Tamandua tetradactyla: one gene and its partners. The protein of the gene in region 1 interacts with the protein of each later gene in a pairwise test. Links are inferred from orthologs where the notes say so. Each region holds a gene or a part of one and is shown in the gene's direction. Other genes may lie near its edges. The genes, in order: FAM161A, DHX32, CDR2 and NUTM1.

Region 1 (7,116 bases):
GTTTTGGATAGGAGCATTGGCTGCTTCTTTATCCATAAGAACTAGTAAAATTTTTATAGTATCTCTACCGCAGTATGCAGCGTCACAGTGTTCTAGTTTGCAGCGTCATCGTGTTCCAGTTTGCTAGCTGCCAGAATGCAATATACCAGAAATGGAATGGCTTCTAAAAAGGAGAATTTAATAAGCTTCAAGTTTACAGTTCTAAGGCTGAGAAAATGTCCCAATTAAAGTGAGTCTATAGAAATGTCCAATCTAAGGCATTCAGGGAAAGATACCTTGGTTCAAGGAGGCCGATGAAGTTCAGGGTTTCTCTCTCAAGTAAGAAGGCACATGGTGAACACAGGGCTTCTCTCTCAGCTGGAAGGGCACATGGCAAGCACAGCGTCACCTGCTAGTTTTCTTTCCTGGCTTCCTGTTTCATGAAGCTCCCAGGAGGTGTTTTCCTTCTTCATTTCCAAAGCGCTGGCTGGTGGACTCTCTGCTTCATGGTGCTGCAGCAATCTCTGCTCTGTCCGAATCTCTCGCATTCTCCAAAATGTTTCCTCTTTTACAGGATTCCAGTAAACTAATCAAGACCCACCCGAATGGGTGGAGACACATCTCCCCCAATCCAGTTTAACAACCACTCTTGATTGAGTCACATCTCCAGGGAGATGATCTAATTACAGTTTCAAATATACAGTATTGAATAGGGATTAGAAGAAATGGCTGCCTTTACAAAATGGGATTAGAATTAAAACATGGCTTTTCTAGGGTACATACAGCCTTTCAAACTGGCGTACACAGGATTTATGGCATATAATTTTGGCTGTGCAGGACTGATGTTAGTAGTGCTAACAGTTACTATTTCTTGATGAGAATAGATGATATTTTCAATCCTCAAACCCAAATTCTGAGCAACTTCTTCTACTGCTTTATAGAAAGGATCCCTGCCGTTCTGGCTTTTAATCAGGTATATCTTTATCAATGAGAGTATATGACCTCCTGCAATGATGACTTTAAGTTAATTTTAAAACCACTCCAATAAGTAGGTATTATTATCCCTAAATTACAGATGACAGAACTGAGTCTCAAGGAGGTTAAATAGCATGTCCAAGAACATACAGTGAGAAAAGTTGGCAGGACACATCATATTGCATTCTATCATATGAAGGGTTATTATATGGAAGAAGAAATTAAGCTAGCTAGTAGCGATCTAAAGCAAACCAGAAACTGGAACAAATATCATCAAATGACAAGTTTTTGAAAAATCCTGAAATCACCATTTCTTTATACCCAGACTAAACCTGAAAGAATCTGGGTTGAAGCCCCTAGTCTAGATGACCAAGCCAGGACGAATGTAAGAAATATACAGGAGGAAGAAGTTTGGTACATCACAAGGAAGCAAATAGAGGTGTCCAACAATAGGACAGGGTTTTTTGAAGTCATGATCTCCCCATCCCCTGAGATATCCCAGGAAAGACAGCACAGTCCAAGAGAGAAGGTGGTGTGGAAAGGATGGACTAGGGGTCAGACTGCCTGGGTGCCAGTCACAGCTCTGCAACTTCCCACTTTGGGTAAGCTCTTTAACTCTCCGTGACACAATCTCTTCCTCTGTAAAAGAATAACCATAGCTTAGTTACTCTCATAGGATTGTTATAGGGAAGGAATGAGTTTATATAAGCAAAACAATTAGAATACTAGCTGGCAGAATTACCACTAGCAATTATCATTATCATTATTAGATGATCTTTAAGGTCATCAAGGATTCTGTGATCCTATACTGGGTTTTTAGTAAATTCTTTTTAAGATAAGGTAATAATAAAGTAAAAAAGGCAGAAAGCTTTGTACTTGGTAGTATGTGCTTACTAACAAATTTTGAGCCAGTACAACATACAAATAATTAGGAGATATTATAGTATGTTAGAAATTTTACTGAATATTAATTTATTCAATACTAGGATTTAATTTGTAAATACATTTTCATAGAGTTGTAAAATCTTATTCATTAAGATTTTAAATATTCCCCCCTCAGATTTCTTCTACTTATTCAGAGAGAACTTGCTAGTAAAGGGCAAATGTCAGATATGCTCTATTATTCATTCATTAAAATTTTCTGACCACTCTCTTTATTGTACACTGATCATGTATCCTGTACTTGTATATACTGTATTGATGATAAAGTGTGTGGTGGTTTAAAGCTATATGCGCCCCAACAAAACATGTTCTTAAATCTAATCCATTCCTGTGGGTGTAAACCCATGTAAGTAGGACCCTTTGAAGGGGTTACTTCAGTTAAGATGTGTCCCACCTCATAAGAGAATGAAATTCAGACAAAGAGAATGAAAGCCTCAAAGGCAAGAAGCTGAAATCAACAAAACCCAGAAGACAAAGGAGAGACTGGCAGACACTGCCACATGCCAGGCCATGTGGCAAAGGGCCATAGATATATGTTTTCAATTCTCTTACATATATGCCTACGAGTGAGTCATATAGTGATTCTATGTTTAACTTTTTGAGAAACTACTTTCCAGCTATTTTCTTAAGTGACTATACCATTTCACACATATCTAAAACATTTGACATACGGTGTTTTTGTTGTTACTCAATTCTATATATTTTCTAATCTCCATTATGAATTCTTTCATAACCTATGGATTATTTTTAGAAGTGTTTTTAAGTTTCTGTACAGAAAAGGTCTTTCTTATTATCATTCTTTTATTAATGTCTAACTTAATTGTATTAAGTGATCAGAGCTTGTTGATTGTATGACGTCAATCCTTTGAAACCTACTGAGTTAGTTTTATGACTTAATACCATGGGTACTTTCATAAATGTTCCGTGTATGCTTAAAGGAATGGATATTCTCGAACTGTGTTAAATATACATGTATGCTAGTTATGTATCATCTGATAGATATACATTATCTGATTGTTAATTGCACTGTTCAAATTCTCCTTATTCTTTTCACTGGATGATTAATATTTTTTTGGCTTGCCATACAAAGTACGGAAAGCGACTTGGGTGTTCCTTATGCTTAGAACTCAGCCAGCATTTGTTCCAGTGTGCCAAGCAAATGCTCAGCCAAAAATCTGAAGAAGGTGAGGGCATGGGGGGTTTTGCAGGTGCTCACACTCCCAATCAGCAAACAAGGAACGCTTGGTAAGAAGCTATCAGGCCATACTCCACGTGTGTATTAAGCAAAAAGATTCAAAGTGATGCAGCAAAGCATCTCTAGGTTGGCAGAGCACAGAGGGAGGGATTCCTATGAAGCCTGGCATCACTTAGTGCCAGGAAAATAAAAAAATAAAAAGGGCTGAGACCTTATTAATGGATTCTAGATGTTCTGCTGCACAATGGAGAAAAATTCTGTAACTTTATGGCGGTGAGGTCTGGTAATGGGCCAGCGAGGGAAGAGGATAGAGTGGGGAGGGGGATTGCGGCAGCCTCGGCTTCAGGAAGTAGGAAGGGCTGGGTAGCACGGGGCTGAGACTGCGCCTCGCTGACTTTTTTGAGGCTCGGAGTCTCTTATAACCACTTGGTTCCGGGGGAAGGTACCACATAAAGTCCTCGGACCCGGAGTGGGAGGACTTCATAGGGATGAGGTGGCGAAGGCTTGTGTCTGCCGTCCCCATGGAATTCACGCCTTCCAACTCAGCTGACAAAGCAAAAAAACGCCAGATTCACGCTACCTGGGCTGTCACTCACTGGTGGGTAGGGCAGGCTCTTCCTCACTCAGGCTTTTATCAGTCAGATCAAAGAAGAGTGGGACACGTTAGGAAGAGGGATGTAAAGCTGCCATCGCCACACAATATCTCCTCCTTTCCTCTCCGCTTCTGTCTCTACTAACGTATTATCTCAATGAATAAAACGTGTATTTTCTACATAAAACGCGTTATTTAATTAATACAATGTGAGAAATCTGCGTTTAGGCGTTGAAATGCGAAGGAGAAGAAAAAGTTCCCTTTTCCTCCAGTCTATTCCAAACCAGCAGTCGAACTCAGCTCTGACTTCCACTAATCAGGAGACACCCGACCCTCGTCTTTGGTAAAGTGAGAGGAATTTGTATGGCTTTTGGTCCCTCGAGGTGCCCGTAGCGTCCTTGGTTACCGCGCCCCTAGTAACCGCCCGCCCCAAGTAAGGAGCCGGCGGGTCGCCCGAGGCCGCTTCAGCTTCGCTGCCCGGGGCCAGCGCGGGCGCTCAGGCCTCGGCGGCGCGGTGATGGACACCTCGCACCGAGCAGCGAAGCTAGCGGCCTCTGCTCTCCAAACCCGGGTAGATTCCGCCCTGTACGAAAACGAGGACTCCTTGGAGGCCTTGGCGGCAGCGGCGGCAGCGGCAGAGGCGGCGGCCTTGAAGGAGTTGGAGGAGGAAGAGGAGGAGAAAACAGTGTTGCCGGCGCCGGCGTCGGTAACGTAGGGTCGGGACCCGGGATGCTGCCGGCCGGGCGTAAGCTGGGGGCGGGTGGGATCCCCACCCGACTGCGGAACAGGGTGGGAAACGCGGTGTCCTGCCCAGATCCTTCCCACCCTTTCTTTGTTCCCTCTCCCCCCACCCCACCCCCCGCCCCTCACGGAAGATACTCAAAACAGAGGCGTTGGAAAGTCTTTATAGTCACCAAAGAGAAGATTGTTGTAAAAATGTATTGAAGAGCATTTACCTCATTCCATTTCTATGAAGTTCAAAGTACAGAACTTTACTCCTTACGCTCAGAATGTCTTGGTATCGGATATCGCACCTCCAACCCCCCCCCCTCCTTTTTTAACTTGTAAAACTGATCTATTCCAATAGTTGATAACCCATAAAAACTCAAGTTAGTTAGCTGTGCTTTTCAGGTATGCCTTATCATCGCCTTAAGGTCCTAGTTATTAGTGGATCTAACACAATAAGTTAGAGGCAGATGTTTAAAACATCGAGTTTATATATAAAATAGAGAAATTAATTACTGAGGTTCTACGTGTTTCTTGATCACCTCTTCAGGGTGGAGTGAGAGCCTTTTCACTGATCTATTTTCATTGCCGAATGGGTGTGGACACCTGGCCACCAGGTGGAGGACAGAGTCTGCCATCTGTTCTGTTTGCTTAAAAGATGGAAACCTTGAGTTTAAACTTAGCAACCTGCCGGAATAATGCTCCCTATTCTCGGTTAAGTTTTCTTAATACCATATGTCCAAAATTTCTCAGATACAAAGCATGGAATGGGGTTAATAGAAATCACTGGATATTTTGGAATTCTAATCTCTCTACTCTGTGTTACAGCTGTTCATGAGAAAATTGTAGCAGCACCTTTTATGGTCAGTATTTCAGCAACAGACACAAACTACTCATGATTATCCAGAGTAAGGCAGATTGAGACCTAGAACATGAATCAAGAGTAAGATTCCTAGGGTCAGTTTTGTTCATGATAAAATTTGCTCTCAACACAAGTTGCGGTGGGCAACAAAAGAGGCAGACCTATGGAGGGGAAAGGTTTGAATGGAAGAAAAAGACTTGGGGTCTTGGTTTAGGATCCAGGCTCTGCCATCTGCTAGATGACATTAGCACTTAACTTCCTTAAGCCTGTTTCCTTATCTGTAGGAGAATAATAATTCTATCTTTCTATCTCACTGTCTGTTATGAGAACCAAATAAGAGAATGTGTGTCTTATTTAAATACCGGTTTATATAAATTGATAATAACAGCAACTGCCAGCGGGACTGTTGTTTGAGCAACTCACCCAAAGATTAAATTCTGTCTGGCTTCCTGTGGTAGAGGAGTCAGTCATTCCTATACTTGTAGCTGTACTTCCCACATGTCCTGTTAAACTGCAATTTGTATTTGAAATGGTTGTTACCTTAGAATAAATGAGTTTACTCAATAGGCTAGTTTTGGAAAAGCAGGATCCTGAAAACAGAAATGATGGAAGTCTTATGAATTTACCTGGCTATGAGGAGCCAGTAGCTAATCTGGATAAGCAGCCCCAATGGACCTGATGAGCCAGAGGACGCTGGGGAAAGGAGAATAGAACTAAAAAGACAGGAATAAGAGGTGGAGCACAGGAGCCAGGCTTTGTCTTCATCACGGCTTGGCTTGAGTCTCTAACTTGATTTTCAAAGATAAATTTGCCCAACTTTGTCATCTATAAAATGTAGTAAACTCAGACAAAGAATCCACCCATAAGATTGATATAAGAACTAACTGCCACAATAGGCCCTTTCAGTCAGTTGGTTTTGCCAATGTCAGACCATCCCCACGTGCCCTTGCCATGTTGGACACTACCTCATTCCCTGAGGGAGGAGGGTTGGGACAGTGTCAGTTTTTAGGCCTTATTAGGTGGGTGATGATGGCATGAATAAAGCAATATTTTATAGTTTGCATTAAAAATTCCACTGCATTTCCTAATTGGGTGACATTCTGTTTTCCAAGAAATATTGAGCATTAATTAAGAGCTATTCAATGACTGTGTGGTGGTGAGTGAAGCAGACATAGTCCACATCCTTACAGAGCTTCCAGTCTAGTGTGGAAGTTAACAGTAACAACAATAAAAATTTCAATCAAACGATTATAAGACAAGAAATTTTGGGAAAGAAATGAATAGGGTACTATGATTAAGAAAGGAATAGATGGGACCTACTTAAATGAGTTGGTAACGTTAAAGTGATGTTGATGAATAAGAAAGAGCAGCCATTTGAAGAGTGGGGGTGGGAAGAACATCCCAGGCAGAGGGAACAGCATATGGCAAGGCCCTAACATGGGAAGAGAAAGAGCTTTGTGTGATTAAGGATCTGAAAGAAAGTCAGCAGGTCTGGAAAAGAGGGGGAGAGGTACATGGGGCCCTGGTCCCACAGAGCCTTATATACTAAGGGAAGAAATTTAGATTTATTCTATGAACAGTGGGAGGTTGTTGAAGATTTTTAAGAGATATGACATATTCCTATTTATGGTTTTAAAAAATTCACTCTGATGGCTTTGTGGAGAATGATTGGAGGACTGATGAAGTGGAAGTAAGAAACCTGTTAGGAGGCTGTTGCAGTAATTCAAGTGTGTTAGGTGGTTGCTTGAACTTTGGGTCCAGGGGGATAGTGAGAAGTGGACAAATTTCTCTAGAATGGACAGGACTTATAGTTGGAGTGGATGTAAGGACCAAAGCAGAAGAAAG
Region 2 (7,848 bases), on another chromosome or scaffold:
GTGAATGAACAGTTATCTAAACGAACAATGCAGGCGCCTCTGACTGGCATTTACTCTGACAAAGCACTTATTCTTTGGATATAATTGTACAAAGGTACAATGTCAGCTACACAACACGGTCATTCGTGGCCACTTTGTCTCTAAGAGGTGTACTATTTTCCTATTGCTGCTATGACAAATTATGACAAACTGGGTGTCAAAACAACACAAATTCATTATCTTAACAGTTTTGAAAGTCAGAAGTCCAAACTGGGTCTTAACGGGTCACAGGACCCATCGCCTAGAGGCTCTGGGAGAGAACGCAGTCCCCTGCCTTTTTCAACTCTTAGAAGTTCCCCACGCATTTGTTCCTGGCCCAGCATCACTTTGATCTCTGCTTTAGTCATCACATTGCTTTTTCTCCCTCTGCTTCCTTCCTCAAACCACCTTTTCTGATTCTGACCCCCTGCCTCCCTTTTAAGGACTGTATTGATTACATTGGACCTACTTATAATCCAGGATAAACTCCCCATCTTAAAATTCTTAACTTAATCACATCTGAAAACCCTTTTTTCCAGGTAATGTAACACATTCACAGGTTTAGGCGATTAGGACATGGCCATCTTTGAGTTAGCCTAACATAATAGCAAAACACTGGGAACAAACTGAATATCCACCTGTGGGGGACTAGTTAACAAATTATGGTACATTCTTACAATAGAATTCTATGTAACTGTTTAAAAAGCTCGTAATACACTAAACAGAAAGCTCTCCAAAGTACGTTAGGTGAAAAAAGCAAGGCACAGAACAGAGAAAATAAATACAGTACAAGTAATTTTCTTGAATATGAAATGCTTAGACTTTCTCTGAATATACCAGGAACTAATAATGGTAGTTACGTGCAGGGCAGGAACTGGGTAGAGACATTACAAGAATGGGAAGCAGACTTTTCACTATATACTTTAATATTTTTTTTTGAACCCTATAACTATATTATTTACTCAAAAAGTAAAATGGTAAAGCCTAGAAAGAATAAGAAGGAAACAAAATGCAAAGGGATTTATGTGGGGCTGGAACATGGAAGGTTAGGTCTCACAGTAAAAGATACAAAATGGTATCTGATTCCAATGCTGGATAACAAATTACCCTAAAACTGAGTGGTTTAAAACAGCAGCTTATTATCTCTGTTTCTCAGTTTAGGAGTCTGGGAGAGGCTTAGCTGGGTTGTTTTGAATCCAAATCTCTCACACGGTGGCAGCCAAGTTGTTAGCCAACCATCTCAAAACTGTACTGGAGCTAGAGAATCCACTTCCAAGCTCACCAACTGGGTTTCGGCAGGCATCAGTCCTCACTGGCTCTTGGCCAAAGGCCTCCATTTCACATTGTGTAGGCCATTCCATAGGATGCTACTATAAGTTGAATTGCATCCCTCAAAATACATGTTCAAGCCCTCACCCTATGAATATGCCCTTATTTGGACATAAGATCTTTGAAGATTTTATCAGTTAAGATGAGGCCAAACTGGATAAGGGTGGGTCCTTAGTCCAATATGACTGGTGTCCTTACAAGAAAAGGAAATTGAACATAGACAGACAGACAAAAGGAAACACCGTGTGACAACTGAGGCAGAGACTGGAGTCCAAGGATTGCTTGTAAATCACCAGAAGCTAGAAAGAGACAAGGAAAGATTCTCCTCTGCTGATTTTGGACGCCTAGCCTCCAGAACTGAGAGGCAATGAATTTCTGTTGTTTAAGCCACCCAGTCCTTAGTACTTTGTTATGGCAGTCCTAGAAAACTCAGACAGGATGACTGAATATGCTCAAAACATGGCAATATACAGGTGAGCCAACAAAGAGAGAGAGAAAGAGGAAGCCAGCCAAGGCAGAAGCCACATCTTTCATAACCTAATCTCAGAAGTGACATATCATCACTTCTGCCACATGCTCCTGGTCACACAGACCAATTTTGGTGCGATGTGGGAGGGAACTGACCACACAAGAGTGTGAACACCAGGAGGCAGGTGGGGATCACTGGGCATCATTTTGGAGGCTGGCTACACCACAGGATCAAGAGCAGCTGAGGACCAGGAATGGGTGAGTAAGCATGACGGAAGGTAGAAACACCAATGACCACAGTGAGTCTGGAAGGCAGGAGGGAGACTGGCCTAACTGAAACTCTAAGACGGTGCTGTGAAATAGTGAAAATTAAAACGGAGAGTGGGGTTTGGCCCAATTACTGAGGCACTTATTTGCCATTGATCTTACTCTGATTCTTTCATACATGTTAGGGTATCTCCTCTGCTGGGAGGTGATTTCTTAAAGAAGAGGGAAACATTCTTATCCTTTTTTTTTTGGACATGGGCAGGCTCCAGGAAATGAACCCAGGTCTCTGGCACAGCAGGCAAGAAGTCTGCCACTGAGCCACAGTTGCCTGCCCCATTCTTATCCTTTTAATGTCTTTAGGATCTGTAGTGATAACCTGTTCATCATTGCTTTTATTATTAGTCTGTGCCTGATCTCTCTTTTTCTTGATCAGTCTTGCTACAGATCTGTACTAGTTACCTATTGCTGCATAACAAATTACCCAAAACTTAATGCCTTTAAACAACAATCAATATTATCTGTGGTAGGCATAATTCTAGATGGCCCCTTAATCTCCAAGTCCTGGTGTTATACCCTGTATAATCTCCTCCCCTTGAGAGTGGGTGGGATCTGTGACTTTCTTCTCAGCAACAGAATATTGCAAACAGGCTGAGATGTCACTCCCATGACTGAGTTATGATATATATATATCTCCATCATCTTACTTGGAGGCATTAGAGAGATGATTCTCTGTTGAAGGGAGTAGTCATGCTGAGGAAGCCCAACTAAAGTGGTCTCCAGGACACAAGAGCCAGCAAAAAACTGGGGCCCTCAAACTTAAGGATATAAACAAGTTAATTATCCCAACAGCCTGAAGGAGCTTTAAAGCAGATTCCTCCCCAGACAAGCCTCTAGATAAGAACCAGCGATGCCATGATGGCCGCCTCCTGGGATACTGAGCAGAGGTGATAAAGCTGACAGTGGCTCCAACACTTTGTTTAGTTGGTTCATTGAAATCTGGACTCAAAGGTGGCCAAAACTAAATGAATTTGCAATGTCAGTACTTCCGTGGTACACTGTAGAGCAGGAGTTGACAAACTTTTCTGTAAAGGGACAAACAATACGTATTTTAGGCTTTGCAGGACAGACAACCAAAGGTTTGAACAGCTGCTTCATAAGAAAGGCACAATGCATGAAGTACACAATATCAATAGTCAAGGAAATTTAAAAAGTAAAACTGCAATGATATACTTTACATTCATTAGACTAGTAGAATTTAAAAAGAGAATAAGGGAAAACAAAACAAAACAAAACCACCAATATTGGCAGGGATACAGAACAGCTGGAAGTCTCATAGGTTGCTGGTGAAACAACTTAGCAACACCGATATCTACCCAGCAATTCCACTCCTGGGTAAACATGCCACGGAAATGTACACCTACGTATGCCAAAGACACGTACGAGAATATTCAAAGCAGCGTTACTCCTAATATCCCCAAGCAGGAAACAACCCAAAAGAAGAAATAAAATGTGGTCCATCCATACATTATACAGTAACTGTGGAAAATAACAAACTACTGTTACATGTAACTGGATGACTCTCACAAGTATGTCGAAAAGAAGACAGACCCCAAAAAGCACATAAGCTGCCATTTAAATAAGGCTCAAAATTTGATGAAATTAATCCATCAAGATAGAAATCCGACTCGTGGTTCCTTTGATAGTGGTAATAACTGAAAAGGTACAGAAGGAAGACTTCTGGGGTACAAGTAATGTTCTATATTTTCATCTGGATGGTTGCAATATGGGTATGTTTAATTTGTAAATATTCATCAAGCTACACACTTAAGTGTATAGTATGCCTATTATATTTCAATAAAAAATAAATTAAGAATACTGATTGCCCAGGGAGGCATAATACATTAATTTAGCAATGCTATTCAAGCTTGGTATGAATTACTTTACTAGAGGACTACAGTACTTGCACTATCCTGAGTAAGCCAATTAACTTGTTTCTCTCCAGAGATATGATTGGTAAGGGCATTTTGAACATAAAATTCTGTGGCTGATTGTTCCATTCTTTGATTCTCTTGTTCTTGTATGAATAAAGGGATTCATGGGAAAGATGAACCTCTTATCTCTGTCTCAAAGAAACTTCTAATGGGAGAGTTGAACATATAAGCATATATGATTGTAATATGTTAGAATAATAAAAGTATTAGCAAAATGCAGACATGGTCCTGAGAAGGGAGAAATGAACTCTAATTCAGGTTCAAGTGGGTAAACAGGCAGGCCAAGCTTCTAAGAGCCACAGATGGCAGAGAGAGGTCCTAAAGGACAAGGAGGCATTGTCAATGGCGGGGAAGGAGAGCATTCCAGGCAGCCAGGCAAGTGGAAGGGGACACCGACCTGAAAGAGAAAGCAGGGCAAGGGTCCTGACAACCTGGAAGGGGCAGGGGACAGCTAAACAGAACTGGTCTAGAAGAAAGGAACACAAAAGTCCCAATAATTTTGGCAAGAGGGTCCCAAGGATAAAGGTCTCTAGTTTTGCCCCAGGCCTGCCACCCAGCCCAGTGAGCACAGGGCATCCAGCCCAGCTGCATGAGTTGTTTACTTGCTGATGAAGCAGCACCACCTTCTGTAGGTATGAGTCATTCGGGCCTTCCTTGGCGATGATGAGATGCACAGCCCCCCTTTCATCTGGCTAGTTCAGTTCTTGGGTGGGGCTGGGTAGATGCTTCTGAGCAGGCATGTTCTAAAAGTGCTTCTTTCTCCCAGCAAGAGGGAATGAAATCCAAGTTTTCCTGGCATCCACTCAATCTGAGAATAAGGTTGGGGGAAATACAGGCTTCTGGAGAGATATGGCTTCCACCATCAAGGCATTTGGCCCTGCCTGTGTGATTGGTTGCCCATCCTGAGGTCAGGACTGCCCGTGAACTTCAGTATTTAAGGTAAGGATTTTAAAAAACAGCTATTTGATGCACATTGTTTTGAAATTGTTAAAATATTTAAAACTTGATTTATAAAAGCACTTATTTTTTAATGATAGGATTTGAATTATGACCTAATTCACAGAGTTAATATTCTTTAGGGGCTAAGGCTACTTGTGAAAAAATTGTTACACAGACTTTTTAAAAGACTCCCAGGCTTAATTAAGACATTACTCTTACATTCTTCCCAGTTTCCTAGATAATTAATGAACATGTACTGCATGGTAATGGAAAGGTTGTATAGTGTCCTATGATTTGGTTGTCCCTTAGTCCAAAAAATAAGATTACTTGTCTCTTTCCTTAATTTTACTGAATAGATTGAGACTCTTAAAATGGCTCATTTGGGCTAGTAAAGAAAAAAGCTTACCATATATGCAATTGATCTGACACTAGATTTAAATGGACTTTATTCAAAGCATCCTCCAAAGAGAGCCCCTTCTGTTGGAGAATAAGTGGTTTTCCTTTTTAAACACACTGCTACGCTCCTCAGGAAATAAAACTAGAAAAGACATCCAGCTGGTAACAGTGGTGCCATCTGCCCAATAAATGTTTCTCAGGGATTCCTCTGTGTCAGGCTCAAGGGACATAAGGGCCAACAGGACAGACAGGGCCCCTGCCCTCATCTGCCACCCTACAGTCAGACGGAAGAGACAGAGTTAAAAAATAAACAAAAACGTTAAATATTGTGATAACTGCTACGAAGGGAAAACCACAGAGACAGAAAATAACATCAGAGAAGGACACTACTTAGAGAATCTGGGAAGGCATCACCAAAAAGGTGACCTTTAAGCAAAGATGAAAAGGATATAAGGAGTCACATGCCAGAGCAGAAAGAAAAAACATTCCTGGCAGAAGGAAAAGCCTATGTGAAGACCTGTATTTGAGGAACTAAAAGAAGACCAACATGCTGGAAGTAAAAATGTATCCAGGAGCGCACATGGGCTGAGTCTGAAGAAGCAGGTGAAGCATGCTAAGAAGCTTATAGGGTTTTGGGCAGGGAGGTCACATGATTCCATGTTCTGTAAAGGTCCCTCTGGCTCCCAAGGTGGAGCATCGTTGGGAGGCAGGTGGCATGATGCAAAAATTAGTAGAACTACGGTCCTGGTTTAAGCAAGAGAGGATGGTATCTGGACTACCCGCGATTACAGTAGGGAGCGAAAAAAAGGAGGCACATGCGGGGTATATTTTGGAGGTGGAATTAACAAGCCTGCTGGGGGATAGGGTGTGGGTGTGATGGTGAGTCAAAAAGAGGAGTCAAGGATGACTCCAGATTTTAGGTTGGAGTAACTGGGAGGATGGCGAAATCCTGTAAACAGGTTTGGAGAGAAGTCTTCACTTCTCAAGGTGTGTGCCTGTCTCTTAGTCATTGGAGTAATTTGGATCCATTTAGCACTTCTTTTAAACGGTAAACTTTAAAAAGGAAACTGCCACTGGTCTAAAAAGGGATAGGCAGCAATCTGGTTATAAAAGTGGGTACTGAAGCACTATCTTGATGCTGCTTTTGACAGATACAAGTTTCTACTGTCAATGTAATTGCTGAGAGTGATTTGGTGGACTAAGGACAATCTTGGAAGAGGGGCTAAAGCCCCCCAAAGCCACGCCCTGCCGCTGTAACTAAGAAATTAGGGAGGAGATAGTATGTTGAACTTAAGTATTTTCTAAAAAAAAAATAAACAAATGCAATCTGATGTGTTTTCCACGTTAATTTATACATGGGTTATCTTTCAGACACTGTAGCTAATTTAAGAAGAAAATAAGTAAATAAATTAGATCTCCTGCTAGATCCGATAACTCTCAACTGCACACCTCTGCCAAGCATTAAAAACAATAAGTGAAATAGAAAAAGAAAAGAAAATTCTAACATGAAAAGGAAAAAAAAAGGATGTTTGTTTGGCCTACTTCGTAAACCTCTAAGAATGTTTCTCTTCTTTCAATTGCAGACTAATTTAGGGAGAGGAAGGGGGGATCCTAATGAATACAAGACTCAGCAAAAGTGCTGATATTTTAGAAGCAGGATACCTACTTATAATAAATGGACCCAGACTACCAAAGTAAAATTATAGCAACAATGACAGAAATAGTAATTATAAGTTGATTCGTTTGGGGGCAATTTCAGGAAGGAACAAACTCTGGGGGTGTCTGTCCTCCGGTCCACACCACCGAGCTCTCCCGTCTATCCCGCTCCAAGCGGAGACCCACGGACGGCCCTCACCTAACCCGACACACTCCGCGGGATTTAGGCCCCTTTTCTCTCCGAGAGAAAACCGCGAGGGGCAGAGGAGAACCGCATCGCCAGGACAAATGAGTTAAAAGCCCGCGGAGTCGCGCACGGAGCGCCCACGCTTACTACTGGGGGAGGCCGAGGCCCCGGCCCTGGCTCTGGCCCCGCTCCCGACCCCGGCCCCGGCCTCCTTACTCTGGGGCTCCATGGTGTGCTGCTCCCCGGCCCTATACAGGCCGAACCCCGGCTGCTGGTAGCCGCCCCTCAACGCCTCCGCACGGGGCAGGCGTCTTTCTGGTTGCCCTGACAACCCAGGGGGCGGGGGCGGAAAGGCGAGAAGGACGGCGAGAGGGAGGGACCAAACGCCGTGAGGAAACGCGGGCGAGCGTAAGGGCCCGCGCGTCGCCCGGGGCACCGAGCCGGGGTGGCGGCTGTGTCGCCGGGTGCAGACACTGCCCCTCCGGCCTGTCTAGGCGATCGCGTCCTCCCTGGCGGCCCTCGCGCCCCCGACAGGGCCTGTGCCGGGGCCTCGCAGGCGGTGGCCCACAGGCCCCGCCGGCGCCGTGCCTAGGCGTC
Region 3 (7,588 bases), on another chromosome or scaffold:
ATACTGTTGCTAAAGAGGTTGCCTATGATTGTTTCCAAGCTATGACCAAGCAGATCCTAAGAGAATAACAGAGACCCCACCAAACCAGGGCTTTTAGCAATTGAAAATTAGGACATCTTTTCAACACAATTTGTGTTCCAGCCTTTCCAGGAAAAAAAAAAAATTCTTAAATAAAAAGAACCACTGACACCAAAAAGCATAAAGCCTGTTTTATTGTGTTGTTGCCATTTTAAACTATCAAAAACTTCAATTCTGCAGATAACTTATTTTTTGAAAGACAATTGTTAAAGAATGTTTGAATATACTTATCCCATTTGGAGTCAAAATGAGTTTCTATTTGCCATCAAGAAAATGAGCTTCTGTTTGCTATCACAAAAACAGCCAGTACTTGAGAGATCCCAAACAGAGTCAAGAGGTTATCCTTATGCATTATACAGATCTCACCTTTTTAGTTAAGGTGTAATGGAGAGGCTGGAGGGAACTGCCTGAAAATGTAGAGCTGTGTTCCAGTAGCCATGCTTTTTGAAGATGATTGTATAATGATATAGCTTTCGCAATGTGACTGTGTGATTGTGAAAACCTTGTGTCTGATACTTTTATTTACCTTATCGACAGATGAGTAAAATATATTAAAAATAAATAATAGGGGGAATAAATGTTAAAATAAATTTAGTAGATTGAAATGCTAGTGATCAATGAAAAGGAAGGGTAAGGGTATGCCTGAATTTTTTTATTTTCTTTTTATTTCTTTTTCTGATTTGATGCAAATGTTCTAAGAAATTATCATGATGCTGAATATACAACTATGTGATGATATTGTGAGTTATTGATTATATAACATGAATGGCATGATCATATGGTAAGAATGTTTGTGTTTGTATGTTAAATAAAAAAAAAAAAACAGCCAGCACTTTCAATCTTGCGAATCGGTGACTATGCAACCAAGAAATCAGGATTTAAGGGATGATTTTTATTACTGAATCACTATATAGAAATTCCTTTTTTGCTTTCTTGTACATTGGAGTAGAAAGAGGGAAATTCCTAAAATCTCTAAATTGTAATTCAGCTGCTTTGATCTCTGCTAATGATTGTATAGCCCTTATCTTCTGCCCTTGTTATTGTAAAAACCTCATGACTAACCTTCTTTTGTACCCAGTTTAACAGTTTTTCAACTTTAGAGTCTTGTAATCATTAAAGACAGCAGGTAATGTTTATTAATGAAGGGTCTTGAGTCAGCCCAGAACTCAACACACCCCATATCTGAAGTTATCTTGTTAAGAGAGACTGGGATCTAACCAAAGTGGGCTTGGCCTACCTGACATGCACAGAAGCTTACACTTGAACCGACAAGTCACCTACACCTCATTCCACCATTTTCTTACATACATTCTGTGACTAAGCATGTAATCAACCTGCACATGCTCAATACTTAAATTACCTCTACAACATCTGGGGCCACTGTGCTTATTATCCTAAACCCTGCCCATCTTTCCTCTAACTACCTGAATTACTGCAGTTTGGGGAGACAGATTTTGGGCCGCTAGGCCATCTGCTCTCCTACTACTTGCCTAGTAATAAACTCTTCCTCTCTTTGAAATACCCAATGTCTCAGGAATTGGTTATTGAGTGTGGGGGCAGAAGAATTCACAGCCTTTGTCCGGTAACAACTATGGAAGATGGATGAGTCTCTTGAAGGTCAAATGCATGAATCTGGCCCTTCAATTTCCACAAAACACCATCAGCAAATCCTAAACCCAATCATCCCTCTTTCCAAAGGGCTCTATCTATAGTAATTTATTTTATTTTATGTATTTATTTATTTATTTTGCATGGGCAGGCATCAGGCATCAAACCCGGGTCTCCAGCACGGCAGACAAGACCTCTGCCTGCTGAGCCACCGTGGCCAGCCCAGTAATTTATTTTTAAGTTAACAAAGTTGGTTTAAATGATTTTCTTTTGTTTTTCTTTTTCTGGACTAATATCTGCACCTGAATATGGACAGCTAGGACAGTAGAGATTTTACAAGGGTCCTAACTTTTTTCTTCTTTGTAACCTAGCAATAAAAAGTAGATCAGAAAAACAAAAGTAGATCAGTAACATTTTGCCTTTTAGTATACCTGGATTCAAAAGAAAGTGATTTATGATTTCTCATTCCCCTTTCATTATTATTATCACTATTATTATTATTATTATTATTATTACCTTCTAACACCATTACAAGTAAGAGTGAAACCATGCGTGAACAAAAATCGGTTCATGGGGATATTCTCTGTTCCTGTAACCTTTTCTTTTGAGTTTGCTTAACGGCAGGTCATATAACCTAAGCATGCGTAGAAAACAGATTTTTGTCCTTTATATGGACTTTGAGACACCAGGAACAAATGCCACCTCCCTTGGAACCAAGATTACAAGAACAAGGAGACATTGAAAGCAAATCAAATGCCAAATGGAGCCTAAAATCCACTCTACCACACATGGACAACTCTATGATTAACCAATTGCACTGGGCCAAGTCAAACCTCTCCACTTCTGTCTATACTTTTCACCCCCCATTCCCACAAAATGTCCCTTAACTCTCAGATCAAGGAGACAGATTTGAGCCTTGCCTCCTGGCCAATCAACCTCACAATAAAACTCTCTTTTCTGAAAATCAAGAAATCATAGTATTGTCCTCTGTGGATACTGGGTGGGGAGCCTTTGCTCATTCATTCACTCATTCATTTATATCAGTATGGATTCATAGATTTTTCCTTTTATTCATTTGGTTATAATCCATTAATAATATTATTTTGATGCTCATAGTTGTCCCCAAAATATCAGTAACAGCAGCGTATGTTTAAAAAAGGCATGAATGCTTTCTCATACTTTCTCTCTTTGATTCTGTGAGGAAGGTAGAGAGATATCTCTCCTATAAACCTAAAGAAGTTAAAGGCTTTTGTGCTGGTAGAACTGAGGCTACAACTGCAGGTCTTGTGAATACACTGTGCTTTCCACTTTATATTAAGCAGTCTTCTTTAATGATGAAAGGATAAAATTTTTGGTAACTGGGAAAGTTTCCTTGTCCTTGGCAAGAGTAGTAGCTTACAGGCTATTCATAAAGCAACCCTGGAGTCAAGCTGTGAAGACCCTACAGCATCAGCATGAGATTTCACCAATTTGAGCAAGAAAGGGGAGGGGAAGGGACACTACATTTTTTAAAACCTACACGAATATTTAGGGTGGATTTTCCCCCCTCCTGTAAATTACTCATCTTTATTCCTTTATACAGAACAATAGTAATTTGAGGATCTGTAACTCCCTCCCTACAATTTCCTTTATTTTTTATCACAGTAATGTTTGCACCAAGTGTGCATGTGCATGTGCCACACAAAATCACAGAGAAACTTATAATAAAAAGCAAAGTCTCCCCTCAGGCAAACTATGAACGGTTTTCCATTTTAGTTTTAGCAGTTATCTTCACATCGTTGAAAACTATTTATTATATTTTCAATTTAAGGTATTGTCTATGGATTCAGGATTTAATTTGCTAACACTACTCCTTCTCTTCCCTCTCACCTAATTTCTGATCGTTGTTCCCTTAAATTTTTCAAGAATAATCCTTCATATAAAGTAAAACCTCTTTGTTCCATAAACGTTAGAAAGTATCGGTGGAGTCCCCTCCTGTCACATACAGATATTAGCAATGCTGTCTTCCCCTCCTTCTAGCAGCTGTACCTTGACTTTTACATCAAAGCTCATAATCCATTCTTAAATGGGTGTGAAACCCACACCCTTGGGCGGGCGTGAGGAAAATTCCCAGAGGTTTGGGAATAAGAACAGACGTCAAGGAGAAGAAGCTAACAGTCAGAGGGTGTCTTCCTCAGCCCCAAACTCTCGGCAGACCCTTAGTTTTCCCGCCGCGACGAGAGCAAACCCAGGAGTCGACAGACAACCGGCGGCCAGGCAGGGAAACGCGGGCTCCCGGCACCCCTCGCGCCTCCCGACCGCACTAAGGAGGCCCCACGACCACCTCCACTCCTCAGAGGCCGGAGTTCTTGCCCCTCACGTCCACGAAGCCTGCCCGGCCACCCTCCGGCCGTCGCGTCCACTGACTGACTGATGGGCGGGTAGCCGGTCCACCCACCGCAGGCCGCCTAGACAACCCAGGACCCCGAACGCACACCCAGAAAATTGCCCCGGAGCTGAGCGGGGGGCGAGGTCTCTCAGCCGCACCCCTTCGTTCATCTGCCCGCCTTCTTTGTTTCTCCCGAAGACGCCATTGGCTGCCGCTCTCGAGACCGGGCGAGGCGCGGGCAACCGGCGAGACGCGATTGGACGATATCGCCGCCGTTCGGCCGGCGGCTCGCTCGCGATTGGCCAAGACGCCGCCCGGGTTTGAATCACAGTCCCGGTCGGGGAGGGTTCTGCCAAAGTGCCACGTTGGGCCCGGCGGCGGCGTCGCGAGCCGGCTTGAGACGCCGGCCGAGGCGCCGGCCGTTGGAACCTTTGGGCGGCGCGAGGCTGGCCAGGAAGCCGGGCGACGGGCGGCTCTCGCTGAGCCTGGGCGGCGGACGGCGGGCGGGTCCCGCCCCGGGACGGCTCTGGCTGAGGGCGGCGGGGCCGGGAGCGAGCCCGGGGCAGCGGCTGAGGCGGGACAGCGGCGGTTGGGGCCGCTGCCCCCGGAGGGCCCGGCCGAGATGCTGGCGGAAAACCTGGTGGAGGAGGAGTTCGAGCTGAAGGAGGACGAGCCATGGTACGATCACCAGGACCTCCAGCAAGGTGAGGGCGGGGGACACGGCAGCGGGGAGGCTCTGGGCTGCTGAACTGTGTTGAAAAAGTTGCTCTCGCCCCGGGCCGCCGCCCTTTGCAGGCGCTGCCGTGCCCGCCCCGGGTGTCGGCGCAGGAATAATAACGCGCCTGGAGAACGTTGTCGAGGGCTAACTGTGTGCGGGGCGCTGCTCTCAGCGCTTTAAGACGCTTAGGTTATTCACCCTTTAAGCCACAGTGAGTGGCCGCCCCGTGACGGCTCCTGCGCACACGGCGCCCCTGGGCTGTAACGGGGCTCGCGGCGGCTGGAGCGGAGCCCTGTGGGTGCCAGTAGCATCCCTGCGCGGTGGGAAGGGCGCAGGCCCCTAACGAACCTGCCCTCCTCTTATCTGCACCCACCCACCGGGAGGAACTTTGGTCATCCCCATTTTCCCGGAGAGGAAAGACTGTAGTCCGTAGACTCCCAGAACGAGGAGCCAGCCAGTCACTGCCCAAACCCTTGTCCGTTCCTTATCCACCCGGTTTACGGGTTTTTTTCTATTGGGTGTTAACCCATTTTCTTTTGTTTTAAATTGTTAATGCACAGTCCACCAGATGCCGGATGAACTGACTGGAGGGCACTTCTGCCTCACCCTCCTCCGTCAATTTGCACTTCCACCTTTCGGTTAAAAGCCTGCCTTCCTGGCTTGGCCTGCCTGTAGAGTTCTTGCTGACCGTCCTTCCAGAGAAGGACCTTCGAGTGGCCTTCACTTTGAAGCCAGTGGTCCTTTTTTGGCATATTGCCAACTGGAGCTAGCAATAGGGATACTTGAGTATGTGCCAGACGCTGGCAGGTCCTTAACACAGATGCTCATTTAATCCTCACAACAGCACTTTGGAGGTGGAGGCGACTGTTTTGGGGTGCTAGGATTCCAATTCAATCTCCAGAGCAAGCGCATGATACTGAGCGCTAAATAATCCTCAGGAATTTTTTTTCAGGCTTCTGTTTCTGCGAATCTGTATAAATCCATTTTTTTCAGCTCCAAACTTGCAGTGAAAATGAAACATCTCATTTAGTTGAACATTAAATGATCGTGATATCTGTACATGCTGAGCGATGAACTCGGTAGGGGAGACCACAGGGAACGTAAACTTGAGTAACTCAACTTAGGAGAAGGAAATAAAATGTGTGCCTGCTTTGGGAAGGTGATTTCTAAAATCATTATGCTGGGAGCTGTACATACCAGTATTTGCGCTCACGTTCTCTATGTCCACAAGACACATTTGTCTTAAGTTTTAACAAACCTGTTTTCTGATTTTCCCATAAGAATTGATGGCCTAGTTTGATTCTTTCTCCAGGGTTAATTGCAACCATTGTGCAATTGCACCATTTCCTTTGAATATATTAAGGAGTTCGTATAATCAACGCAGAATGTTTTTCTTTCTAGTATATAAGATGCATAAATCCGCAAGGGCATTAAGGGCAGGGACCAGATGGCCCTCATTTTTTTGAATCCCCAGCATCTACTACAACACACAGCACATAATAGAAGCTCGATTAATGTTTCTTGAACCAAACTGAAGCACTCCCACAGGATTACTGGTTTCATGGCTTTCTTCCATCAGGGGCCTAAATCGCACTGCACTTTCCCCCCTGCGGTTGTTAAAAATAACCCATTGTAATTTTTCAATCTACTGAGAAGCAAATGCAGCCTGATAGGGTTACCGTTAGAGTTTTCTAACTGCTTTGATCAAACCAGAGCTGTCAGATCTTCAGGTTTAAACAGAACCTTAAAGGACACTGTTTTGAACCTGTTTGATGCCAGTTTGTATTTGGGGGTTCTTCTGTTCTTTTCAAAGGGTTCTTACATTTATTATCAAAATGGATTTTGACATAACTCAGTAAAGTGTGAGGAGTAGGAATAGAAGATAGGAAATTCCAACAATCATAACTTGGGAAAATGACCTATAAAACACAGCTGCAGGATGCATAAAAGGTTATCTTTGCCCCGATTTTTTAAAATTATATGTTAACTAACTTCTAAACTTGTAAAGCATTTTAAAATTTGTTCGTTTCACAGATATTTATTATCTACTCTGTACCAGGTAGTTATGTGGGCACTGGGGCCACAGCTGAAGACAGGTTATGATAGATGACATTCAAACTCAGTTGAGTGCACAGGTAGTTCAGTAGTAGAATTCTTGCCCACCCTGTGAGAGAAGTAGGTTCGATTCTGGCCCATGCGGTGGAAATACCACCAGCATCATGGAATGTTCCCACTATGGCACCTGGCCTACAGTAGCTCTTTATAGATACTTTCTGCTGAATGAAGTCTGTAAACAGGTCTGTCCTTTAAGCAAGTTGATTAAGCAGGTGTAGTGGGGATTTATCCTGTGTCAACAGCTGTATGATTTTTAAAATATCCTCACTATCAGTTTTGCTATACTAGGCTGTTTGGAGAGCAGTGAGTCAAACAGCTTTCTAAGATCCTGTTCAAAATGTCTTAGAACTACAAAATACTTTTTTTCTTTTAACGATATAAGCCATTTTTTAAGTAGATTGAGTCTGCATCGAAGTTTGTTGGGGCAGTCATTTCAAAATTAAAATTGCTGAAAAATTCCTGTTAGAAACGTGAAGCTGTGTGTAGGCAGGAGGAGAAAACCTTTGCTTTTAGAAAACACTTTGATGAAGACTATCTTTTGTCAGAGGCCTGAGTTGGCACAGTAAGAATACTGACAATAATCTCTATGCGTAAGGTCCTTTCTGGGACAGCAGGAGCTTTCTGTGCAGGTAATGATGGTACATGCTTTGAAATGTGTCCCTGCAAACAAGGTGGAAAGACTTCAGAGGCTGGATTTTCTT
Region 4 (7,699 bases), on another chromosome or scaffold:
TTTATCTGGTGAGTGTCCCGCAGTTCTAGTTGAGCAAAGTGCGTGCAGGCCCACCCTATCAGGCGAATACAGTATGGATCAGATTGCAAAAAAAGTGTACACCTGGCCACCTGTTGTGCATCAGGTGAATACCCCACAGGTTTGGCTGGGAGGAGGTGTGTGAAGAGCCACCCGATGTTTTTGAGGCCAATAATCCACTTGGGCCTGGTGGGAGAGGTGCGCATGCATAACGGGAAAAATATCCCACTACTGGATGGAGAAGAAAGAGAAGGGTGAGCAGCAGAGGGTGCAAGGCAGATCGGAATTCTGCCGCCGAGATGTCTGCGGGGGTGGCGAGCCCGCTCTTCTCCCGGCAGTAAAGGTCCCTGGGATCTGGGAGGAAAAGGCTAGCGGATCAAGACACCTCGGACTGCAGCTCGGGGTCTTGGCAGGTCGTTGTCAGTCCATCGAGCTCACGGTCTGCTTACTGATGATGTGTCTTGCGTGTGACAGGAGATGCTTCCTCCCCTATCAGGACCCCAGCGCAGGTCAGCCCCTCGCCGTCCTTCAGGTTCTAGCAGAAGAGGAGACTGCCACGCAGGCTGCCACCGGATGAGAAGGAGGGGGCGATCCGGCGTAGGGGAGTAGGAGGTCGCAGGTGCCGATCCCCGCGCCAGCTGATGCTGGTGCGCGCGCAGCTGTTGTTTACTAGCCGGTAACTGTTTCCGAGCCGCGGCGCGCGTGGGAGGGCTCCGGCAGCAGGGGAGGGTGCCCCCTCCCCAGTCAGACGCCAAAGCAGCCGTTACGTGACCTCGCCACCCCCAGCGCCCGGCCCGGCGGTCTGCAGCCTTGCCGCCGGAGCCCCTCCTTTCCCGCCCGACTCGTTCCTCATTCGAGGTTAACAGTCCGGAAAAAAAACCTGGGGGAAGGGTCGGAGGGCGGCACCGTCCTGCGCGCGCCCGGGAGCCCCGCCCAGCCTCTGCGGCCCGCGAGGTGACGGAGGACTGCGCGCATGCGCCCACCCTGGGCCCAGGCGAGCCGGGTGGGCGGAGGGGGCGGGGAGTAGGACCGAGCGTTTGAGGGTCCTGGGGTATCGCGGAAATTGGCAGTCGGATGTAGGGGCGGAAGCCTCGCGGGGTAGGACCGGGGTTGCAGTACTTGGAAGACATTTCAAAGAGGAGACCTCAAGGGCCATCTCTCTTTAATAAGAGTGTTTCTGAAAATACCATTCATAATCTCTGTAAGAATTATAACAATCCCCCCATTCCAAATATTTACGTATGACCCTTATGGGAATTTTATGTAGAATTCTATCCTAAAGCGTAGAGGCAGCAATTTTAGACGCACTGGATACTGCATGATTTTTCTTGTTTCCGTCTTTTGAAAAATAGTAGGCCCATTTTCTAGTCAGACTGAACGTTCCATTAAAGAACACTTTAGATAAATAATTTTAGACCTGGAAAAGACATTGAGATACTTTCTCTCTACTCCCAGTGCTCTCCCTATTACATTTACTGGCGATGGAGTTATTTTTTAGTGTGTATATTTAATGCATAAAGAGGTGTTCAATAAATGTTGACTAAATTTATTTGCTGTGCCTTTGATCAAGACATTTAACATTCTGGTCCCAGAAATTGGCCCTTGGCTTTCCCCGGGTCTTTGCTCCTCACAAGTGGAACTGTTTAAACCGCATCTTTAAAAATTGGTTCAGAACTGTAAAGACCCAAGCCAGGAAAACCCCTTTTCATCAAGTGGTACACAAAGTCCAAAGTCCATTTTAAAAGACCCAGGTAACAAAATGAGGAAAAAATGTGCAGCTCCTGAAGCCTGAACCTTTATAAAGCCTGTGGTACTTGATTCAGGTTCCTAGCTTTCTTACAGATACAGCAAGAAATCCATCTCCCCAAGGGATATTTTTAACTCAGGCAGGCCTGTTTTTCACTGGAAACCCACAGACTTTCCTTTGTTAAGAAATGCTGGATTTTACATCACCAATTTTTTTTTTATCACAGTGTACTTACATTTACTTATATATCCTACGTAATGCTAATATACTATAACTCTTAAGATTCCTCTCTTGTCTTTGAGCACTCATCAAGCTCTATAAGTTTATGTCCCAGGAGATGTTAATACCGAAGGAAAAAGTTCTCATTACTGCACAACAGTTTGCCTTTTCTCCTCTACTTCAACTAGGAACATTTCCAGCCCAGGGTCTAATTTCAGTCTATGTTGCAGGTTCCATGGGGAACAATGCTATTTTTTTTTTTTTAAGAAAAAAATCAGCATTGCAGTCAACATTAAAAAATAACAGTAGAGTTCATTTACCCACTCTTAAGAAAAAGAAACTTTTAGCATCAGGCCCTTTTTCTTGTTACTCGTATAACTTTAAATATTTCACCAATCATTACTCTCTTAATAGGTTAGGATAACTCCTTAACATCCTTTCTACCCAATGTTAAGAACTTTTTGAAAGTGACTAGGCTAAAATAAAAAAAAAATTAATTGCTCAAAAGGAAACTATCTCATTTCAACATTTTTGTAAGTTTAAGTAATTAATTTAAAAATCATCTTTCTCCGTTGATTATGATCCAAGTCCAGAGACTTCCTTCTTTCTCAGCAGTCAACAACTGTCCTCAACTTTTCTGCTAGGATGGTCAGACAACATGGGCCAAGCGAAATGTTATCTATCCCTTTCCATTGTAGTCTTTATAAATGACATTTGTGCTGATTTGAGTTACTTCTGCTAATTTTGACAAAGTAGGAAAAGATTGCTGAATTAGAATATGTTCTCCAAAAAGCAATTTTTAAACCAATGGCACTGAGCAGGCACATTCAAATCCAACGTCAAAAGCCAAGTAACACAACTGAGAAATAGGGGTTGATTAACTTGACAATGAGAGGAAGAAGCAACCTAGCATTTCTTGAGTGCCTGGATACAGTATTTTTCTGCACCCTCTTAATATGAAGTAATTGGATTGAAAGTCATTTATTATTGCTCCATGATAGAAGCTCAGGTCCTAAAAGATTTCAAGTTCTTTCTTGAACCTCTCATACCTCACCTCATCTCCTAAATTAAAGTTCATGAAGAGTTCCACATAGTAGCTGCCAGAAAGAATGCAAAATTAGGTTTGTGTAAAAAGAGAATTGATTAGAGACCTAAAGTTCTGGGAATATTTCCAGAGAGAAAATATGCATGTGGGCACTACTATTCATAAAGTTTGGACAAACACTACAGATATACTGAAAAGAAAGACTCACTAAATCCTCTCAATTTTAGAGCTGGAAGAGAACGTTGAAATGATGTGAAAAATAGCACCAAATTCTTCAAGTTGCACAAATAGGGGAAAACCTTCATCTCCTGACTTCCAATCCACTGGCCTTCCTCTACAATATGGTTGCTATTCTTTTTCAATAAACTCTTCCATTTTGAGTCAAAATGTCATTGCTAGGGGGCACAAGGAATGACAACATGGGTATTTTTCAGTGAATATAGACAGTTGTGAAGGTCTTTCTCAACCTTTCTTCCCCTTTCCCGACGCACTCCGATCAACAACAGCACATCACTACTCGCTGCTACAGCAGCGACTGAGTTTTTCTTACAAGTGATCTTATTGCCATGCTCTGGGACATTTCCCCCTTCATCTCCCTCGTTTTTTTTGTTTACCAACTCTTTTCTCCCACAACACACAAAATGAGAGCTCTTTTAAATCATTCTGTCTTTAATAACCCAACAGTAGTTCACAAAATGAAAAGATTCAAACTTGTTTCCTTTATAGGAGATGCTAACATGATTGCCTCACACAAGCATGATCAAAGGCAATGCGACTAGATTCCAAAGACCAAGGGTGGTAATAAAACAGGGCTTCAAGATTCACAGACTGAAGAGCTTATTTAAAGAAAGACTCCGAGGGGTAGCAGGAGACCGAAGAGACATGAAATATGAGGGACCCTCAGAGGACAGGGCGCGGTTGCTGGGTCATGAGCACCTTGAAGCGTTTCTTGATGGTGATTCGGTGTCGCGAGTATTTGTCGTCTGGGGAGAAGCGGGCAGGATGGGCTGAGCAGGTCTGTTGTCCCATTGGGTCAAGCTTCTGCTCGAGAAGGGAAGAGAAAACACGATCTCAGCACCGGAGTGAGGGGCAAACTCAATTACTGGCGTCATAAGGTTGACTGAGGCTGGAATAGGGGGTGCGGGTGGGAACGCGATAAGGCGCAAGCAAAGGGTTAGGAGACGCGACGGTCTGTTCAAGAAGCGGCACAACCCTGCGTCTACACGCCTCGGTTCCGGCATTTCTGGATCTCCAAACCTAGCCGGTCTCGTCCGCCCGCCGCCGCCCCCTGCCCCCCATTTCTCGCAGTATCCTCTCCTCACCTTCAGCGTATAGACCCGGTCTCCCTGCTCATTGAGGTAAAAGTGGAGAAACATGACCACGCTTCAAGCAGAGACACCACTTCCGTCCGCACGCTTATCTGCGCCTCTGCCTGTCCCACCACCTCACGTGCTCACAACGTCCTTCCGGTATAGCCGGAAGTCTGTCTCAAGCCATGACGGGAATTGTAGTCCATTTTTGGCATTTTCTTCAGCTGACCAGAAGGGGGCGCTCTATCGCAGGATTTGGCCTGGGGGCCTGCAGTTGTAACCTTACATGCCTTGATGCGTGGAGTGTACCCACTGTGTGCCAGGCACTGCTAGGCGTTAGATGGGGGTGGGAGTGAACGTGGGTTGAACATTAATGAATAGAATTCTGTCTTTGTTTTACGATGCCCACCCATTTGAGGGGCGGTGGGTGTCTAACACCAGGAGAGAAAAGGACTCTGGGATTCAGTACCCCTTTACCTTAAAATAATTTTTCCCCCTCCCCGCTTTTGCATCCGGTTCCCCGCCCCTTTTCAAACTATTGGCGGTAAAGAGTGCATGATGGGTATTCAATATTCTGCACAGCGGAGAGAGCGTGAAGTTATTTTATGAAACTGGTGAAGTATGTTTTAGTGGTCGAACCAGGATTCAAACTCAGGTCTCTTTCCCGCATTTTCAGCGCTTTTTCTTATAGTGGTGAGTAACTAATGATAGCATAAAAGAAACACTTCTAGTGGCATTTTGAATTTTAAAGGAACGTAGAAATTTTCTTTATGGGGCTGTAGCTTAAACAAATGAAATTAGAACCAAGATAGCATTACAAAAATGATTATTGCAGCAATATCTATAATGCAAAAACACTGAAACATATTATTAATTTATAACCACAAAAACCTGAGAGCTTTAAAAAAAAAAAAAGAATATAGCTTGCATTTGCACAAAATGCCTCGGCAAGGGTCCATAAGAAAAAGGTAATATTGGTTTCCTCTGGGATGAAGAACTCTGTTACAGGAAGAAAACTTGTTGCTGTATATTCTGTTTTGCAGTTTGACTTTTGAACCATGCTAATGTATTTACCTATTTAGCCAGGAGTAAATAAACAAAGGGCTTCCCTGAAGTCCTCATTTTATGTCATCTTACTGATTCCCTGTTTTCTGGAAACAACCCTGAGTTGTCTCTTAGAAGCTGGGAGGCTGAATTTTTTAATCTTGAGCCAGCACGGTTGTTCAAGGTTCGCATGGAACCATTTATTTAAAACAATTCAATTAAAATTATTTTTTTTAATTAAGTATTTAACAACAAGAAAATAATTTAACAAACAAAAAGAAGAACTTTCTGGTCTAGAACTTTTAGGCTACATGGCAGTTTTTTTATGTGGTGGGGCTTTTCGGCAGAAGGGATGACTGGTAAGGCTGGCCTGATGTGGACTGCCAAGCTTATGGTAGTAGACCATTTGAGGGCTGCAGGACAACTTTGCGAGTAAGTGATAGGCATATAGCAATCAACTATCCTGGATCTTCTGAGACAATCTGAATTTCAAATATTCAGTCGCCTTGATTCAGTATGCAGACTATGTGGTCTGAACTTCGTTTAGAAAATACAGCCATCATTGAATTAAGTCAAGGGTCTACCAACAACCTGTTATTAAGAGGAAGTCAGTTACTCTTGAACTGGGTGGGGCTGAAGAGGCAAAACTAGATATATTGGTGAAGAATTGAAGTAAATAGAGGTAAAACTGTTGTGTTGGGAATTTGAGAAAGTATTTTCAAATTGCCCTAAAGAGGTACATGCCAATTGTGCTGCCAAACCCTAGTTTGTTACCAAACTCAGTTAGTGCCTATTTTTCAGAGTCCTTCGTGGAATATTCCCCTCATCCGTACCCCCTATTCCAAGCCTCCCCTCCCCCACTGCAGAATGCCTTGAGTCCTAGATTCTAGTTCTATTTTGATTCGATCTTTACCTTCCCTTTCTTGGATCCCTGGTACCTTCTAAGCCAGCTTATTCTCTGGGTCCTGGAGGCTTCCAGACAGCCACAGTTGGTGCCCAAATCTGAGAGGATAGCTTCAGATGGAGGTAAGTCAGTGGGTGTCAGATAGGGAGGGTTCCTGCCACCTACTCTCCTGCCACCTACTCAGACCCTTGGGGATTCCCATTTGACACTTTTGTCTGACAGCAAGCTCTTTGGGCTGGCCTAGAGGGAGGAGACCTGTGGACCCCACCAAAGGCATCACACCTGGGGGAGGCTGGGGAGGGAGACTGAACAATTCAGACTGGAGTTTGGGGAAGGAAGAGGGCTCCTTAGGGGTAGATTAGGACACCTCAGAGGAAGTAGGCTAGGTAGAGAAAGGCTGGCAATTAGGAACTGGATTCTCTAGGAGGGGGACCACATCAATGTGTGTTTGTGCAGCAGGGGCAGAGGTATGTGGTGGGAGGGGCCCAGAAGGGTTTCAAGGGGAAGGCCCAAGTTCTTAAGTCTTTTTCTTTAGGTGCCTGCTCTAGCATTTTGCCCTGAGAGAACTGAGATGAGGTCACTCTTCATCTTATAAAGGGAAGAGGGAGAGAAGATAGGGTTGGGGGATGATTTTAGTCAAAAAAACAGTTCAGTGTCTCATCTGTTGCCAAGCCTGCAGGGAAACATTTTCCTGAAAGCTAGGCTGGAAAGTACTCTAACTGCCAGGGCTCAGAGCTTCACAGCAACTTCCAGCCCCAGAGATGGCTTTTCTTTCTGTATAGCAGTTTTCCTTGATTCATCAGGGCCCAGGGAGGTGGTGGTTAACTCCAACTGGGAAGAAAGCTTTGATTTTATGTTTTGTGGGACTCAGGCCTTCAGACCAATTTCATTTTGTTCAGTACTTTCGGCCATACTTGTGGCCTTCTGCGCTGCTGTTGAGATGACTAATTTGCTTATATTCCATGTCTCCTTCAAGGCCAGGAAGTAGAAGCTGAGTGTTGTCAGTTTGCCAGAGGAATGCTCTTTATAAGAGCAGGGTGGGGTGGGGGGATTAGTATGAATTTAGGCAGATTATCTTCTATTATTGTTATTTAAAGTCCTAGGAGACACGTCCTAATTAATTAAGCACCTTTTGTTTATCCTTAGTCCCCTTAACTAGAATCCACACAAGCAACTCGTGAGCAAGAATTGTGTTCCAGACTTCAATTATCCTTCTCTAAGCAACCAGCTCACAGTCTTGTTCTGAGTGACTCCTAAATTTCTGGTTTTAGGATTTCAAAGCAGAAGGACTGCAAGGCAGTCTGCAGCGCCAAATTTTTAACACGTCTGGCAGCTCTGGAAACCTCCCTACATCTCCCACCCTTCACCCATTTCCTGGTACTTATCTAATCTTCTGTAGTCATTCCTGGCTA

The links.
Region 2: the proteins of FAM161A (region 1) and DHX32 interact in binary tests that used the Homo sapiens proteins (3 or more experiments, as listed by UniProt). The two-hybrid records come from large-scale screens. The link is inferred for Tamandua tetradactyla from reciprocal best matches to the Homo sapiens genes FAM161A and DHX32.
Region 3: the proteins of FAM161A (region 1) and CDR2 interact in binary tests that used the Homo sapiens proteins (3 or more experiments, as listed by UniProt). The two-hybrid records come from large-scale screens. The link is inferred for Tamandua tetradactyla from reciprocal best matches to the Homo sapiens genes FAM161A and CDR2.
Region 4: the proteins of FAM161A (region 1) and NUTM1 interact in binary tests that used the Homo sapiens proteins (3 or more experiments, as listed by UniProt). The two-hybrid records come from large-scale screens. The link is inferred for Tamandua tetradactyla from reciprocal best matches to the Homo sapiens genes FAM161A and NUTM1.

The regions. Positions count from the first base shown.
Region 1 is NC_135343.1:34,621,563-34,628,678, reverse strand, and holds the start of FAM161A (protein FAM161A), read left to right. Parts: upstream 1-4,109; 5' UTR 4,110-4,200; coding exon 4,201-4,389; intron 4,390-7,116. UniProt on the Homo sapiens protein: Involved in ciliogenesis.
Region 2 is NC_135339.1:88,466,824-88,474,671, reverse strand, and holds the start of DHX32 (putative pre-mRNA-splicing factor ATP-dependent RNA helicase DHX32), read left to right. Parts: upstream 1-4,835; 5' UTR 4,836-5,012; intron 5,013-7,467; coding exon of another isoform or gene 7,468-7,480; exon of another isoform or gene 7,481-7,668; intron 7,669-7,815; exon of another isoform or gene 7,816-7,848. Other genes in the region: FANK1 (fibronectin type 3 and ankyrin repeat domains protein 1), read right to left, coding at 7,468-7,480.
Region 3 is NC_135349.1:34,859,498-34,867,085, forward strand, and holds the start of CDR2 (cerebellar degeneration-related protein 2), read left to right. Parts: upstream 1-4,568; 5' UTR 4,569-4,676; coding exon 4,677-4,758; intron 4,759-7,588.
Region 4 is NC_135340.1:45,698,047-45,705,745, reverse strand, and holds the start of NUTM1 (NUT family member 1), read left to right. Parts: upstream 1-4,679; coding exon 4,680-4,697; intron 4,698-4,969; coding exon 4,970-5,032; intron 5,033-6,333; coding exon 6,334-6,409; intron 6,410-7,699. Other genes in the region: NOP10 (H/ACA ribonucleoprotein complex subunit 3), read right to left, coding at 3,930-4,070, 4,352-4,405. UniProt on the Homo sapiens protein: Plays a role in the regulation of proliferation. Regulates TERT expression by modulating SP1 binding to TERT promoter binding sites.